Linked DNA regions of Diceros bicornis minor. The protein of the gene in region 1 purifies or fractionates together with the protein of each later gene. This does not show direct contact. Links are inferred from orthologs where the notes say so. Each region holds a gene or a part of one and is shown on either strand. Other genes may lie near its edges. The genes, in order: DOCK1 and ELMO1.

Region 1 (8,769 bases):
CTCCAATGACTGTCTCCACTCAGCAAGACCCCAGGCTTGAGTCTCCCTTCTGTGCTGCAGCCCAGAAACTGCCCCCAGGAAGCCAGCTGGGCAACCGTAGGGCTCAGCTCATTTGTTTCCCTTCTTTCAGGGATCACAGCCCCGTACCACCCCATGTCTGATATCTGGAAACCATTGTTTCATCTGGAATGCCTACCAGTGTTAAGCTCTGCCATTATCTCATTAAATCTTCATGACTTCCTAGCAGTCAGACTATTTTCTTTTTTTTTATTTATTTTTTTGCCCCAAAGCCCCAGTAGATAGTTGTATGTCGTAGATGCACATCCTTCTAGTTGCTGTACATCGGATGCGACCTCAGCATGGCTGGAGAAGTGGTACATCGGTGCGCGCACGGGATCCGAACCCAGTCTGCCAGCAGCGGAGCGTGTGCACTTAACCACCAAGCCACGGGGCCGGCCCAGTCAGACTATTTTAAAAACAAGGAAACTTAAGAGCAGCCAGGTAACTTTCCTAGAGTCAGACAGCTGCCAAGGTCTTGGTCACGTGTCTGGCTGATTTTGTGAATGCCACCCTGCACCATCTGAGGATACTGAGGCCCCGAAGGGGACCCTGAGGGCATCCAGCCTCCAGGGGCAAGGCCTTGACCACCTCAGGCCTTGCAACCCAGATCCAGGGCTCCTTCCATTCTAGGACCTCCGCCTCCTGCAGGTGCCCCGGCCCCCAGCTCCAGAGCTCATTGCTGTGTGTGCTCAGTGTGGGAAGGACTGCTTGGTCTGCATTTACATTCACAGTCACATTTGCCCACAAGGCACATTAGCACAGCAGGCAGCATCCTCTACTGAACAACATATTTGCTCTGCGGAGCTGGTTGAAGTTGAACACCCAGGGTCTGCTGTAATAACCTGCACAGAGAGCGCTGAGCAGTGCATCTGGAGGTGAGGCAGGGCCCAAGCTCTTAGGGTGAAGCCAGGCCAGGCCTCTGCTTCTCAAACTGGTTTTTAAATCTCAAGCGCTTCCCTTCCTTCACTTTATTTTATAAAAAATTTCAAACATATAAAAAAAGTAGAGAGATGAAACACTCACAGACCCAACACCTAGACTGACCACTCTTGCTTCGTTTCGTTTTGTTTTTGCTGTAATAAAGTCAATGACAAACACAGTGACAGTTCACTTCTACACTGCAGCACGCATCTCTAAAATACAAGCACATTTTCGATATAGCCACGATAACACTATTATTACACCTTGCAAAATAAATAATAATTTAAAAATATTATATAATACTGGTCCTGAGTTAAAATCCCCTGTTGTCCTTAACGTCTTTTAGAATTGGTCTGTTAGCAGCCAGTATTGGGTCAAGGACCGCACATTGCATTTGAATGTTATATTTCTTAAGTCTTTTAAAATCTAGAACAGTTCTCTCCCAGCCCTATATTCTTTTTCAATAATATCGACTTGTTGACGACACTAGACCAGTGTCCTAGAGAAGGTCCTCCCTCCCAGCTTTGTCTGACCATATTCCTTGTGGTGTTCAACTTGTTCCTCAATCTCCTCTATTTGCTGTGAACTGCAAGTTCCGTCTAAAGTCTTGATTACACATTTTGTGCTGTGTGACATTGTGTGCTGTGACCACAGGCCTGGTCATCTAATAGGATGCCAAGATCTGCCACTGGGTCAAAGGGGGCAGCTATTAGACGCCTCCCTGCAAGACCACATTCCTTCCCTTTCAGCTGGCCAGCAGCCTGCGGTCACTCCCTGTTTGAAGTGTGCAAAATCCATCCCTCCCTTTCTCATTCTCATCTGTGCCCTTGCCCCCAGATGAACATGCCCCGCCCCTCACTGTGCCTTCTAGTATCTCCCCCAAGGAAGATTTTGCTGAATTTACCTCCTGAGTGTGCAACGTGAATATGGAAAATTTTTTCAAATTAAAAAAAAATTTTTTTCAAAATTTAAAACTATAATATCGTGGCCGGCCCCATGGCGTAGCGGTTAAGTGCGCGCGCTCCACTGCTGGCGGCCCCGGTTGGGATCCCGGGCACGCACCGACGCACCGCTTGTCAGGCCATGCTGTGGCGGCGTCCCATATGAAGTGGAGGAAGATGGGCACAGATGTTAGCCCAGGGCCAGTCTTCCTCAGCAAAAAAAGAGGAGGATTGGCGTGGATGTTAGCTCAGGGCTGATCTTCCTCACAAAAAAATAAAACAAAACAAAAAAAAACCAAAACTATAATATCGATTTTGGTTTTTTTTGCTCCATCCCAAAATTCTGCCCTATCTTGGGAGGGAGTCACTAGTCTGACCTCCCACTGATGCTTAGGACTGGGTCACTGGGAGCCCCAGTGCTCTTGGGCGGGTCACACCTGCAAGCATGGTGCAGACCCAAGTCCTGCACGATGCCTGAGATATTGCTGAGATCTGTGGCCCAGTCATGTCCACTCAGGAGTTAAAAATGCCAACTGACCAAACCCCAGGGCTCCTGGAATCGGAGGTGGAGCCAGTCCCAAGCTCAGGCAACCACAGGGCAATGAGCCAGGGCCATGGACTCGATTTAGAGCCACAAGACGAGGCCATGGCCGGGGTCAGCCAGGGAATGCTGACGAACCTCCTCAGGGCTGCAAGGACTGCGGCCGCATGTACAACTTCTCAGCCAAGCTTGGGCACACGTCACAATAAGGCAAAACCTCAGTGTCTCAAACACAGTGTCCATGCTCCATCTGGAGTTTTTAAGCTCTGATTTAGAAATTTATTTATATGACAGTCTTACAGAAGTACACAATTCCACACCACATTTATTTATATATTCAGTGGGTCACTTTTATCAGCACGAAAGTGGCGACTATTCCAGAAAATGTGAATGTTTGAGCTCATCAAACGAAGAGGAGGCAGCGTCAGAGAAAGCCAACCACAGTTACAATGTCTTAGCTGTGCAGACGCATCTTCTCCTGTGATCCTCAGAACAGCTCTCAGAATGAGGTTGGTAGCATCGTCCCTACTTTATATGTAGGGATGTCAGAACCTGAAGGCTTAGAAACAGAAAATGGCCCCAAATGGAAGGAGAACGGTCAGACAGCTGGCAATGGCAAGGCCAGGCCTCCGAGGTCTGCATGGCTCTCAAGCCCCTGGTCTTTTGCTACAACATGCCATCTTCCCCAACGGGTAGCCACACAAGCAGAATTGAAATTGGGCATAAAAGAGAAGGAAAAGATCACCAAAATTTGTTTTCCAGGTTTTCTTTGCAGAATTCTGAATTCCTGGCAAAACCTAGAAAGCCCTTCTACTGCAGGCTCATTTTGTGCCACTTTCCTGTTGTTCCCTATGCTTCAGCAACACTGGCCTTTCAGTTCCTTGAAGGCTGTGTGTGCCTTGCCTCCCCAGGGGCTTTGCACATGCTGCTCCCTCAGTAGTTCACCTATCTAGTTTTCTGCTTATCCTTAAAGTCTGGGCTTACATTGTTTTCTCAAGGAAGCCCATCTTGACCTAGGGTAGGTCAGGCCACCATGTCATTTGTCTTGGAGCACCCTAGTTCTCCTGTACAGCACCTTTACAGTTGCTTCTCCTTCAAGAGGTCCAAGTCACCAGGCCATGGGTTCAGGGCCTGAGCCCCTGAGGTTTCTTTCTTTTTTTTTTTTTTTGTGAGGAAGATCAGTCCTGAGCCAACATCCATGCCAATCCTCTTCTTCTGCTGAGGAAGACTGGCCCCGAGCTAACATCCGTGTCCATCTTCCTCCACTTTACATGGGACGCTGCCACAGCATGGCCCGACAAGCAGTGTGTCGGTGCGTGCCCGGGATCCGAACCTGGGCCGCCAGCAGTGGAGCGCGCACACTCAACTGCTACACCACAGGGAGGGCTGGCCCCGCCCCTGAAGTTTCTAATTTCCACAGAAGGCTTTAAGTGCACGCATGAGGCTGCGTGAGACTGGAACCCAGTCACCTTCCCTCTGTGAGACTTAAGTTCTTTATCAATAAAACAAGGCCTGTGACTTTCTGTGAATCTGTGGTCGATTATCACAAACTCTCAAGTCAAAGGCAATGGCACTGTATCCTCTTGTATACAGTAGGTTTCTTCTCATCCACCCAAACTGACGAGCTCTGGGGACGTTCCACAGTGTTTATTTACTCTGCATTCTGGGTTGAATGGTGAGATTTCCCTGGCTCAGAGCATCCCCGAAGGCAGGCGACGGGCAATCTCTGCAGCAAAATGATGGCCCATCTGGCCCTTCCCAGGCCCCACTGGCCCCCTCGCCAGCTCTGCCACCCAGCGTTGTCCCTACCCCACGGAAGCCTTCCATCTTTTTACCTTCTTTCCTCCAATCCTTGAAGGCTCCGGGCCTCCTGCTGTTGTCACTAGTTCTTGGGGGCATGAGAGAGAGGAGGACAGCCGGTTAATAGTCCGTGAAGCCAAACTTCCTCCATTTAGTGGACTGCCTTCTTTCCGAGGCTGTCTCCTTCCTCCTCCATTTCTTGGTTTTAATTTTTCTATTCTTTTCCAAAATTACGGTAAAAATAAATAGGTGTGTGTGTTGTTTTAAAGTTTTCCCTGGAAACTCCGAAGCGCCATCTGTTACCGGCATGGGAAACAGGCGAGTCTGAGAACTCACCTACTGCGTGAAGAAGCTCCTAAGAAGTCATGTGTGTCTGCTCTAGGCCTGGCCTGGAGTATCCTCTCCCCGCCAGCACCAATCCTACCTCCTCTCTTCTCCCGCTTCACAGTCCTCCAGTCCCAGTGAACCAGCAGAAGTTTCTGCAAGCCCAAGGAGGCTGAGGCCTCGGGGCCTTAGCAGGCTCCGTCTGCCTCTCCCTCCTGGCCTCTCTGGGTAGCTCCACTCATCCAGCACTCAAGCCAGAGGTCACCTCCCTGGAAAACACTCCCTCACCAGCACTGCACCATCTCTTCCCCTCACCTTGGGTGTCCTTGCCCAAGCACTCAAAGCTGGCCTACCTATTTGTTGTTACCTTTACGCATCACCCCCTACACCCCCTAGCACACCTGGGCACGGGGTAGGTGCTCAGTTCAAGTCCTTCAAATGAAAGAATGAACCACGTGCTCTGGAAGGCTCCTCCCAGTGGAGCTCCCGGTTGGCTCTGCTCCAGGACTCTCCACCAAGGCGGAATCTGATTTGGGGACCTTACATCACCAGGCGCCCGTCTAACTCCCGTGCTGTACAAACCACACACTTCATAAATCTCATAGAACTCCCTCTCCCCCGGGGGCGCACCCCTCTCATTGTATGAGACCCAGTCCCCAGGAGGGCTCACTGATTGAAGGAAACTCCGCGGATAATGAAAAGACTAGGCCCCTGCGGGGGGTGCTCCATCGGGGGTGTCCGTGGGCCGGGAATGTGGGGACAGGATGGGGCGCGCCGGGATCCAGGGGCGGAGCGGTCGTTGGGCCTGGGTCGGCGGCGGCCGCGGGGTCCCCGGGCGTGGAGCGCAGCCGAGTCCGAGCGCGCGAGGGCGGGCGCGCAGCCCGAGGCCGTCCCGCCTCTCCCCGGAGCTCCCGGCCTTTCCCATCCGGCCCGCGACGCTCCGCCCGCCCCGTCCCACATGACACCGCCTCCGCCGCAAACTTTTTCCTCCCCATCCTGTCGCGGCTCGAAAGGAATGGAAAATGGCGGCCTAGGCGCGGAGTTTCCTGCCCGACCGGCGGCGGCGGCTCTCGCGGTGGCCTGGGGCTCGGGCCGCGCGCGGCGCCATGACGCGCTGGGTGCCCACCAAGAGAGAGGAGAAATACGGCGTGGGTGAGCACCGCGCGCCGCCCCACCTCGCGCCAGGCCTGTCCCGCGCCGCCGCCGCCCGCGTCCCCGCCGCCGCCCCGCCACTTGCCCCAACTTCTCGGGGCGCGGCGCTCCGGGCGGCCGGGGGCCCCGGCGGGGCGCGGGCGGCGGGCGGGGGTGCCCGGAGCCTGTTGCCGCCGGCCCGGGCGGTGCGGGCGGGATGCAGAGTGGCCGGGGCGGCCGGGAAGACGCGTCTCCGCCCCGCGCGCCCGCGCCGCCCGGCCGAGTGCCCGATCGCGCCCCGTCGGCGGGCGCTGCCCGCTCGGACCCCGGGCGCACGCTGGCCCCGCGCCCCCACTGGAGCCCGGGCGAGCCGGGCCGGGGACACGCGGGGGTGAGGGGCGGGTTGTGCCACTTTTCGAGGGTGTCCTCTCCGACATCCAGTTCTCGGGCGGGCACACCAGTGGCGGAGCCTTGCAGCCTCCCGGGCTGCCCCTAACTCGGAGGTCCCATTCTGCCCGCGGCCGAAGCCTTGAGTTTGGCTGGGCCCGGCCGGGAAGCCCGGCGTCATTGTTCTGCCGCGCCTTTTTGCTTTTTGTATGAAGTTTTGTGCAGTGTCTGGGGCTCATGTGGACGGTTTCAGGTTGCAATGATCAAAGCGAAGAATTGTGGTCTCCCCCAGTAGGAAGTGGCGTGCGCCACCCGGGCGGGCCGAGCGCGCTTCCCCCCACTTGGGGTTCGTGCCCTGGGCCGTGCGGGACCCTCGGAGCGGAGCAGCTGAGCGCTCTGGTGGCCCCGGGGCCCGGAGAGCGCGTTGGGAGGACGGGGACCTGTTTTGGCTCCGCTGCTCTTTGTCGTTTCCTGAGGGGAGTACGGAGACTCGGGTTGCAAGTTTACATTTCGAACGGAGTGAATACACATTCCAGAGAGCGAGGCTTTCTTGAACGGCAAAGAAACAGGCCCCCAGCCCGGCTCCGCTCTGCCGTCCTCCGCAGGGGTCCGCAGCCCGGCCTGCCGAGGCCTGTGGCTTCTTGCCTTCTCTGAACTGGCCTACCCCGGGCCCCGGTCTGGCCGCGGCTGCTCTCCGGGATCCCCGGATCTTCCCGGTGGCTTTTAGTCTCACTTTTCTCCTGCTTCTCAATCCAAAGTGGTGGACCACCTCCCCACCCAGGCCAGACTGTCTGCCTGACTTGTAAGGCCTTTTGTGACCTTGGCCTCCCCTCTGCCGCCAGGTTGTGCCCCCCCAGGGTCCCCGCTCCCCTCCCGCAGCCCTCCTGTCCTCCTGTCTCTGAGCCCGCGCACTCCCGTGGCGACTCCAGGAGTGTCTTGCCCACTGCTGGTCTGCTTCAGTCCTGGCCCTCTGACTTTCCGGAAGCCTCCTGGGTGGCTCCAGCCCCGGGGGGCTCTCCTCTCTGTGACTCCGGTTGTTTATCTTTGCTACATGTCAGCCACATGCAGTGGAGCTGGCTTGGACAGTGGCCTTGGGAACAGTCCTGAGACTGGGTACCCCTCTGAGCCCACGATGGCTTGTTCCATACCGGGGAGCAGAGGGCCCTCCTTGCTTCAGGACCACTATGGCTGAGCTCCTTTCCAACCTTCTTTCTGGAGATGTGGAAACTGAGGCTCAGACATGCACCAAGAGTAGCGGCAGAGGTGGGCTTTCTGACTGCGTGCTGAGCGTGCACCCTATGCGCCTCCACATGGATTCAGCCCCGCGGCACATCCTGATAGAAAGGTCCTCCTTAATCTGCATTTGATGAGGGAGGTTTGGGGTGGAGATGCTGGCTGAGATTGCTTCAGGTGTGGCGGCAGTGGGGGTCCGGGCTGTGGTGAGCCTGCTGGGGTGATGTGTATGAGGAGAGAGCTGAGGACAGATCCGCAGGGAACACAGCACCGAGAGATGGAGGAGGAGCTGGAGGACTGCGGAGAGGCAGGAGGCAAGCAGAGGAGCAGGTGACCCACTGCCCTGCAGAGTAGGCAGGTAGCAGCTCTAGCTCTGGCCCAGGGCTTGCCTCTCAGTCCTGGGCAGTGGTGACTACCATCACTCCCATTTTACAGAGGCAGAGAGAAGATAAATTGCTTGCCCTCTCTCGCACCACTTGTAAGTGCTACTTCCTGGATTTGAACCCTGCCTGTGGCTCTAGAGTTCACGCTCTCCCCCACTCTGTGCACCAGGAGAGGGGGAGGGGCTTCTCTTTGGAGCAGCACCACATCCTAAGACACTTTGATGCCTTTCCTTTGCTCCCAGGGTGACCTGATGGTGTCAGTGAGGACACTGTAAGTGTGGACACCTATAGAGTGGCTTGACCCTTGTGTCTAGAGAAGACCAAAGGGTAAGTTCAGGGATAGAGCGAGCAGGGTCTCCTCACTGGGCAGGCGGCTGTGGGCAAGAACGTGGCTGTGTTCCTCCCCATCAAGTCACATGCCTTGCAGAAGCTTCCCTGGCACTCACTGCAGTGACTTCTAAGATCACACCTTTGGCTAATACTTTGGTTTTAAGAAAACTTTGTATTGAAAAGTTTCCAAAGAAAAGTATCCTGGATGGTTGTGCCAGGCATGTCTAGGAAGGCTGTGAATGGCTGTCAGGTAGAGGAGAGGGGGCTGTTTTGCTTAGTTTCACCAGCTCGAGATGAGGCAGCTGAACTGGGTGGAAATAAGACAGCACAACTCACTCAGCATCAGAAAGAGCTTTAAATGACTAGAGCCCCTTCAGGGAGGGCAGACGGGCCTGGACCGATTTTGGGCAGAAGGGAAGGCTGGGGTGCTTGCATTGGGGTCATCCCAGGCTTCCCATGTGTCTGGGATGCACTGGGAGGATTCCACTGTCCTCAAGAAGGGTGTGGACTGGGGAGATGTAAGTGCTGGGATGTAGGGATTCATTCCCATTAGCTATTTGGCTGTTTCTGCCTAAGGGAAAATTACTGGAGATCCCCCTTACCAACCACAGTGTTTTTTTGGGGAGCCTAACAACAGGGCTCTGTTTCCCTAGAGGGTTTCTGGTGGATCTGTGGGTGGGCCACGCTTCCACTCTGGCCACTGACTTGGGCAATGAAT
Region 2 (7,968 bases), on another chromosome or scaffold:
ACCAAACACCCATAGGGGAGTAAATTACTTTAAAACACTCAGCTTTGTCCTATCTCAATACCATAATTTAATAAACGCTTTTGATTGAGCAGCACTGTAGAAACCCCTCACCTGTTTTCTCTCTTTCATTTGTCTTCTCCTAGGCATTTCTTATCTTCTTTTTCCCCTGCCTCTGCCACCCAGCTTCTTCCTCCCTTACAATCTCTCCTCCTCTGCCTTCACTTCCATCTGCTGGGAGAGCAGGGTAGGGTACATGAAAGTCTCTGGTTTCACTCCCCTCACAATATGCCCTTCTTCCTAGGGGAGCATTTTTTTGGCTAAAGCAACACGCGCTTAGAGAAAAGACTTTCTCTAAGAAGAGTGATGAAACAAACACCAGATCTGGAGAGGGTATGCGTAATTAACAAAGTGTAATGGTTCTCCACTCTCCCAAGGAATCACTTCTCTGTTCCTTTCTTCGGTCTGAACTTCTACAGGAAGAGTCTCCTGAAGGCAGAAAAGGGTCTGCAAGATGGGCAGCTGGGCATGGGGGAGAAGACAGAGGAGAAAAAGTAAAAGCCCGTTACCTGGGGTTCTTAATTGCTGCTGATGCTGCAACATTTTCCTGGTATATTTCCTTGGTGAGCCTCTCCCATAATAAGCACCTCTTCTTCAGTCAGTCAACAAGTATTTATTGAGCACCTGCTATGCTGGGAATCAGTTTAGATTCTGGACCTCTAAACAAGACAAGGTTCCTGCCCTCATGGAACTTCCATTCTAACGGGGGAGACAGAGAATAATCAAATAAACGAATATATAATGCCAGGGGTTAATTAGTGCTAAGACGGAAAATTTATACGAGGTAATCAGGGAAGGCCCTCTGTAAGAAGACAACTGAACAGAGACCTGAAGGAAGCAAGGGTGTGAGCCGTCTGGACATGTGGGGATAATCTCCTTGTGCAAAAGGAATAACATGTGCAAAGGCCCTGGGGAGAGAACTTGGTGAAAAAGAAAAATGTAAGGTAGTCAGAGTGGCTGCAGTTAAGAAGGGCAGAGAGATGAGACAAGGGAAGGTTGGAGGGGTGTGGTGTGGATATGGCCATCAATAGGACCACGGGTTCTATAGCCCAATGACTGCTCCAAGTCCTGAGTTCCATCAGACCCAGGTCTGGGCCTGCCTCCCAGCGTGCCCCTCCCTGACACCTACCAAGCTTCTGAGCCAGTTCCCTTCCCTCCTGACATCATCTGCCCTGCAGAGTTCCAACATTCCAGGTCATTCCCTCACAATTTCCCAAGAAGACAACCAGTCCATCTAATTAAAAAAAAAAATGAGTAATAAATGTAGTAGAAAAGAAGGCAACATGCACATTTAACCACAGCCCTCAAGAGAGAGGAAATGTACCACAGAAAAGAGCAGAGGTTCAGAAGGTCAGCTATAAGAAAAAGTCTGCTATGTGACAGCAGGACATCTGGCCTTCTAACTTATAGTTCCCAGTTTTGAAAACTGGGGGACAATGATCCTTGAAACGACCTTGGAAAGCAGGTATGGAGGTGAGATAACACGAAAAACCATGACCAGAGGAGGCCCTTAATAACAGCTGCTTCCAGCCTTTTCCATGTAAAAGTAAACCTGAGAGGGGTTAGAGCCCTCTAGTTCCCAAAGTTACCCTCAAAGAGTTGATATACAGGTCTAGGTCATTAATTACTTTTATTTTATGGACCAAAAAAAACCTCAAAAATTCTTCCACAGCCCCACCCACCCCACCCGCAAGTCACTGGCAGGGCCAAACGGGAAGCCCGCGGCCTCTGCCTCTGGAGGCAGAAACCTTGTCTTAGGTTCTCTGAAATCTTAAACAAAACGAATTAGATTCGCATCATTTATGGCCAGCAGTGTTAGCAGGCCCATGGTCTGGGGCACAGGGCATCACAAAATATGCTCGGTGAGTCACAGGAGCTGTCCAGAGGCCGAGTCCCTCCAGGGGTCCAAGTCCTGAGGCTTCAGGTCAACACAGGTCCAGCCGCCAACCACCCCTGCCCTGAACTGCCAACTTCAAACTGCCCCCAGGCGGGAGAGGGTCACTCGGCGGGAGTCCCCAGCTCCGGAGACCCTTGCGATCACCCATACATACACACACACACACACACACACACACACACACACGCTCACTCTCGCCGCCCTCGCGCGCGCCCGCGACACAACGCGGACTTCCCAACCCCAAACACACGCGCGCACCCCCGGGCCGGCTGAGTTCTGTATTTCCTCTTCCTCAAAGCAACTCTATCGATCTCGGCCGCCCCTCTCCGCTCGGATTCTAGGGCCCCCAGAGCTCCGCTGCCCCCCTTCTCTGAAGGCGCGCCCAGTGCGCCCCCTCCTCGATGCCAGGATCTCCCATCGAAGCCCCTGCCGTCTTTCCCGGTCCCGGCGGGGACCCTGAAATGTCCCCGGGAGGCGGGTATTTACTAACAGTGGCCCCCGGGACTCCCAGCTGCCCTAACCATCCCATTCCGTCCCTCCGGGCCCTCCATCCCTCTAGCCCATCATCGCCCCCTCCAAGGAGCGCGGTCGCCGGGGGATTCCCTCCCATCTGCGAGTGCCAGAGAAAAGCCGGGAGTCCGAGCCGCCAATCCTTTCTCCAGCGCAGCCTCTCAGTTCTGCAAGCCCGCAATCCCACACTCTCTCTGTCCACAGTCCCCCAGCGCTGACTGCGCAGCCCTCCGGCAGCCCCCTCCAGCCGGCCTTGGCCGAAACATCTCCGCGGCTTCCCGGGCCCCGCGCTCCATCCCCAGCGCCCCCTCCCTCCTCTTCTACTCCCACTCCAGCCGCCCCCCTCTGCCCAGACTTCCCCCAACTGCGGAGCGCCCTGGTGCGCCCGCAGCCTTCATCCCGCAGGGCGCCGCGGCCACCTCCGCCCGAGCCGCGGCGCCCCCAGGGAGGAAACAAAAGTGTCTCCACGGCGCCCAGCGTCCCCCAGAGCAGGACGCCTCCTCCTTGCCCCAACCCCAGCTTCCTCCCCGGCCGCGCTGAGGTCAGCGAGTCGGGGCGCGGCGCCAGCCCAGGAAACTTTACGAACCTGCCCGGGGTCTCAGGACGGCGGCGGCGGCGGCGGCGAGGGTTCCCAGCGATCAGGGCTCTGACGACCAGCGACCTTTGAAAGGGGGCCAGAGATTCTGTCGCCTAGCTCGGGGCCGCGGCGGTGTGGGTGGCTCTGCCTCTATCCCGTGCCCATCTTCGCCCGCTCTCGCTCGCCCGAACACACGCACTTACACTCCGGGTCGGCCGGCTGCTGCGCCGCCGGCTGCCGCTGCTTTCACTTCCTCTTCCTTCCTCCTGCTGGCCAGAGACACATTTTGCATCTGCAAGCCATCCCGAGATCAGCCGCGAACTCTCCTCCCGAGCCGGCGCTGCGGAGTGGCCGCCACCGCCCCCGGCACCTGCGCCCGGACACGCGTGGTTGAGCGTTCGCCTCCCGCCCGCGCCCTGGTGCCTGCCCACTGTACTTTGCCTGGGGGGTACCCACGACTTTTTGAAGTCCCCCTACTGAAAAAGAAGAAAATGTCAAACACCGTGCACGCCTCAGATCTGCTATAAATAATATGTGTGCAGATCATGACTTCTCAGATGAGCTCACACGAGCGTTTTGCAGGCACTAATTAACTCCGTCACCCTCATAGCGCCACCTCCGGGAGGCCGAGAGCGCGAGGCATCTTTTTAGATGCTTTCATTTTCGGCAACTGGTTTGGAATTTTGGGGGGAAACTTCCGTGGGCTGTTTCAAGGCTACTTTAAGAGGCTGTGTATTTGTTTTGACGCTGTGCCTCTACCTTTGGACAGCGTGGCAAAAATGACAACAGAATGCTTCCTCCGCTCACAGTCACTTATGCATTTACCGACTACAGGATTTATTTCTAATCAATTAAGCCAAGGACTCCCTAATTTTACATAACTTTACATAAAACAAGATGTTCTACCCCCAACTTGGTATTTAGGGTACATCACTTAATTCATGCAACCTACTTCAGTCACTTTCCAAGCAGAAATCAAGCACGCTAACTCCCGGCCTAGCTGCTAGGAGGGAAATGACAGTTGTTGGAAGGTTGCAGGAGAAACACCTGTCCTCTCCAAATTCATAAATATCTACATTGGCTCTCCCAGAAAAGGCAAAGGCAGTCGCTATGCATTTCCCTCAGACTGGGAAAGAAGGTAAGCTGGGAGCAGGGAAGCATTCGAATCTAAGGTGGAAGGCAAAGCTTCTCTTTAAGTTTCAACACCCCCCAGAGGAGATTTCAATTTTAACCCTGTTCTGGCTGTCCATTAGCAGCCAAGAGCTCCAGGCAGCTATTGAACGCTTGAAACGTGGCTAGTCCTGAGATGTTCTGTAAGTGTAAAACAGACACGGGGCTTAATGTGGAAAATGATGTAAGAGCGTGTTAATTTTAATGTTGATTACATCATTTCAAGAAATGATAGTAGCTTAGACGTAATGAGTCAATTGGGTTAATGTATTGGGTTAAGATATAAATATATATATTATATATATATACAATTTAAAATGAGTTCACTGATTTCTTTTTCATTTTTAATGTGGCTACTAGAAAAAGTAAGATTACTTTAGTAATCTCATTAGTGGCTCACATTATATTTCTAATGAACAGCCCCAATCTGACCCCTTATTATATGCATAACTTCCAGAGGCAGTATTAGTAGCAGGAATACTTAGGTCCAGATCGTTATAAGCTGATAAGTTAAAGCAGGATGATTCCAGGAAAGTAACTTTTCTCTATTTCCTCATCTGTAAAACTGTAATGATATAATAATAACAGACAACAGGGCAACTATCAAATGAGGTAATTTAATAAGCAGTCAGTAAATGGATGCTATGAGATACTTGTAATGATAAGTATGAATTTGACCCACAACGTTTTAGCTAAGGCATACAAAGACCTTAACATTAGTGCAGACATCATGAGCACTCAGTAAATGTTAGCTGTCATAACTGTCCCAAGAGTAAAGAGGGAACTCTGTGTCCTCTCCTTGAACAGCAATTAGACAAATCCACCTCCCTGTAACCTTTGGTCCCAGCTCTGCCCTCTGCAGTCAACATGGAGTAAGTCACATCCTTCCTCCAAGAGATAACCTCTCAGGTCTTTGAAGACAGCCATTGCATTCTACCTAAACATTCTCGTCTGAAGATTAAACATTCTCAGTTACTCTAACTCCTCTTCATGTGAGATGGTTTCAAATCTCTCTAATCTTCGCCATTTTCCCCTTGAAGGACACCTGTCTCTGCCCTTTAAAAAAAAATTTGTTGTCATAAAATTAATTGACTAGTTAACCATTAAAAACAATTAATACAGCCTGAGCTCTTGTCAGTTATTTTTCAAATACATCTCACTGTTGATCCCAGTGCAAGGGGAAAACTGGAAATTCCTTGCTATGTTACTGTTAGGCCATATCCATGCTTATGGGGTTCGTCTTTGGGACAGAAGCCCTGGGTCCACCTTCTCTAAGTCTCTTTGGATTTGATTCAGGCATCCAGTGTCTCCCCATGTCCACAGAGTAGATTAGAACACTAGAGTCCTGGATGACACCCCACTAAGGGGCTCCCTCTGCCGTGGTGGGGCTCAGCATACTTTGGGTTCACTGGTTCATTCAGTTACTAATAACCCTCTTAACTATGCAATTGTCAAGCCTTATTTTTCTATTATATTCATAAGGATATCTTAGAGATGTCAAATGCCTTAGAGAAATCCACCTCTACCCTAGGCTTAGCTGGTGGTCTGCAGTGGGCACAGTAGAGTGGTGGTGTCATGTACAAAGTCTCCATCTCTAGACTTGGTTGTTGAGTATAAATCCCAGCATTGGCATTTACTAGGTGCATTACCCTATGCAAGTGACTTGACTCGTGGGATTAAAACCACACCTACCTGGGAGGGTTGAGTGAGGATTAAATGAGTTAATACATGCAAAGTTCTTAGAAAAGGGCCTGGCACATAGAAGCACTCAATAACCGTTAGCTTAGCTATTATTATCCATAACAGTCCTCTGATCAACAAGTCATGTTAACAGAGTCCAAAAAAAGAGCAACACCCTCCCTTTTCCCATATATCAGTTTCTCCCCATAGGGGAGGGAGAGAGCCTGTATCATCGCTCTGATGTTATTTAAGCTTCTGGTCAAACCTGGACCATTCAATTGTTAAGTTACACTGCAGTAGAGAGGACAGCCATTTTAGGGTAAGGACCGGAATCCAAGTGCAGCCCTTCAGTAGCACTTGCAGTGGGTCCACCTGGGCAGGGCTTAGACTCTGCAGATGGGCCAGCCTCATCTACATCTCGGGTGGTAGGGAAGTGGACTCAGGATCTCCTCTGCAGGACCACCCATCTCAGTTTCAGGATGGAGAAGAGGAAGTAGGGTAGGGATAGTTGGCTAGAGAACAAAACTCAGTGGACCCTCAAATCTAACCTGCTCTCTCCAACCGTGCTTACAAGACGGCTTTGCATTGTTGACAGCTGGAGAGGTGTGTTTGGGGAAATTTCCCATATTTTAGTACCTTGATCCTGTGTTTCCCATATCTTTATTCTTCCTTGTGTATGCAGAACTCCAAGATAGGAGGGGTAACTGGAAGTTTATCAGAATATCACCATGAAACCCCAAACTGCAAAAACGGCCTGTTATATTTTTCATCAATGATGACTCATGTTGATCAACTCTTTCTAAGTGCGCACAAATATTGATTTCTACTTCATTAAAAAAAACTTATTGGACTTCAAATGGACGTTGTGCATTTAGTAATGCATTTAGTAATTTGCTTCAGAATTCTACTCCAATCAGCCTCAACTTCCTTGATCTATAGCTTGAAGAATCTATTCTCTTTTCCTGTCTTAGAATCAGGCTCATGTTGGCTTGACTCCAGTCTACGAACAGCTCTTGGAGGCAGAGAAAATGGCCTCAGCTCCAGGAGGCTGCGACACCAGAGGTAACAAAGTCCGGGCAGCAGACAGACACCTGCACTCCAGAGCCACTGGGGTCAACCCTGCATGCAGACCTCAGTTTCAGAGTCTGTTCCCTGGGGAACCTGACCTAAGACATCAGCTGTTCTCACGTTATGGATATTATATCCTCTCTTATTTACTGTGAGGATATTAATGATACTTCTTTCAAATTCTTCTTTTATTTGCCCTATGAACTCTATTTCCTTAGGTTATAGTTACTCAATGAAGACTGATGTCACCTTGGCTGGGTGCTTAACTTGGCGTATGTGATTCTCTGCTCTCCTGTCACTGCTGTTTCTGTTATCTGTAACTTGCAACTGATGATCCTGGGGAAGAGGGAGACGGGCTGCCCGGTGGTGGTCCTGGGAGTTTATGTCTGTGTGTGGTCGCACCCTCTCTAGGAGATTTAAATGATTAAATGGAGCCCAGCCTCTTCAGCCCCAGTGCTCACATTCACTGCTCCACCTGGATACGAGGCTAAGGCCACGAGCCGCTTAGCAAAGTGGTGATGGAGGGAGCAGAGTAGCCCCACAGTTAATCACCCTGAGTGCCCTTGGGCATCCTCCTGCCTCCATGTGTGTTTACACTGGACTCGGAGCGCCCTTGACCCAAATTGCTTCTACCTCTGTCATAGAAATATTCTGTTTGCGTGTTGGGCTGTGGTTTCCTCCCATTTTAATTTTCTCTATATCTGATCCAGTCTGCTCTCCAAAACTTCTGGTGGCCTGCTTTTCTTTCTTTTTCCTTCTTCCTTCCTTCCTTTCTTCCTCTCTCCCTCCCTCTCTTCCTTCCTTTCCTCCCTCCTTCCCTCCTTCCTTCCTTCCTTTTTTCCTTCTTTCCCTCCTTCCTTTGTTTTCTCTCTCTCTCTCTCTCTTTTCTTCCTTCCCTTCTTCCTTCTTTCCGTTTTTTTCTGGAGTGGCCACAACCCCTCTTTTTATATCTTTTCTTTCTTTTCAGGGGGTTTGGAGCTAGAGGAGGGGTAGATGTGTGTGATTAGGA

The links.
Region 2: the proteins of DOCK1 (region 1) and ELMO1 purify together in Homo sapiens (affinity purification with western blotting; 12 studies listed by BioGRID and IntAct, counting the BioPlex papers as one, with this or other methods). This does not show direct contact. The link is inferred for Diceros bicornis minor from reciprocal best matches to the Homo sapiens genes DOCK1 and ELMO1.

The regions. Positions count from the first base shown.
Region 1 is NC_080745.1:89,363,057-89,371,825, forward strand, and holds the start of DOCK1 (dedicator of cytokinesis protein 1), read left to right. Parts: upstream 1-5,568; 5' UTR 5,569-5,693; coding exon 5,694-5,739; intron 5,740-8,769. UniProt on the Homo sapiens protein: Involved in cytoskeletal rearrangements required for phagocytosis of apoptotic cells and cell motility. Along with DOCK1, mediates CRK/CRKL regulation of epithelial and endothelial cell spreading and migration on type IV collagen.
Region 2 is NC_080742.1:60,602,565-60,610,532, forward strand, and holds the start of ELMO1 (engulfment and cell motility protein 1), read right to left. Parts: upstream 3,476-7,968; 5' UTR 3,245-3,475; exon of another isoform or gene 3,051-3,244; intron 1-3,050. UniProt on the Homo sapiens protein: Involved in cytoskeletal rearrangements required for phagocytosis of apoptotic cells and cell motility. Acts in association with DOCK1 and CRK. Was initially proposed to be required in complex with DOCK1 to activate Rac Rho small GTPases.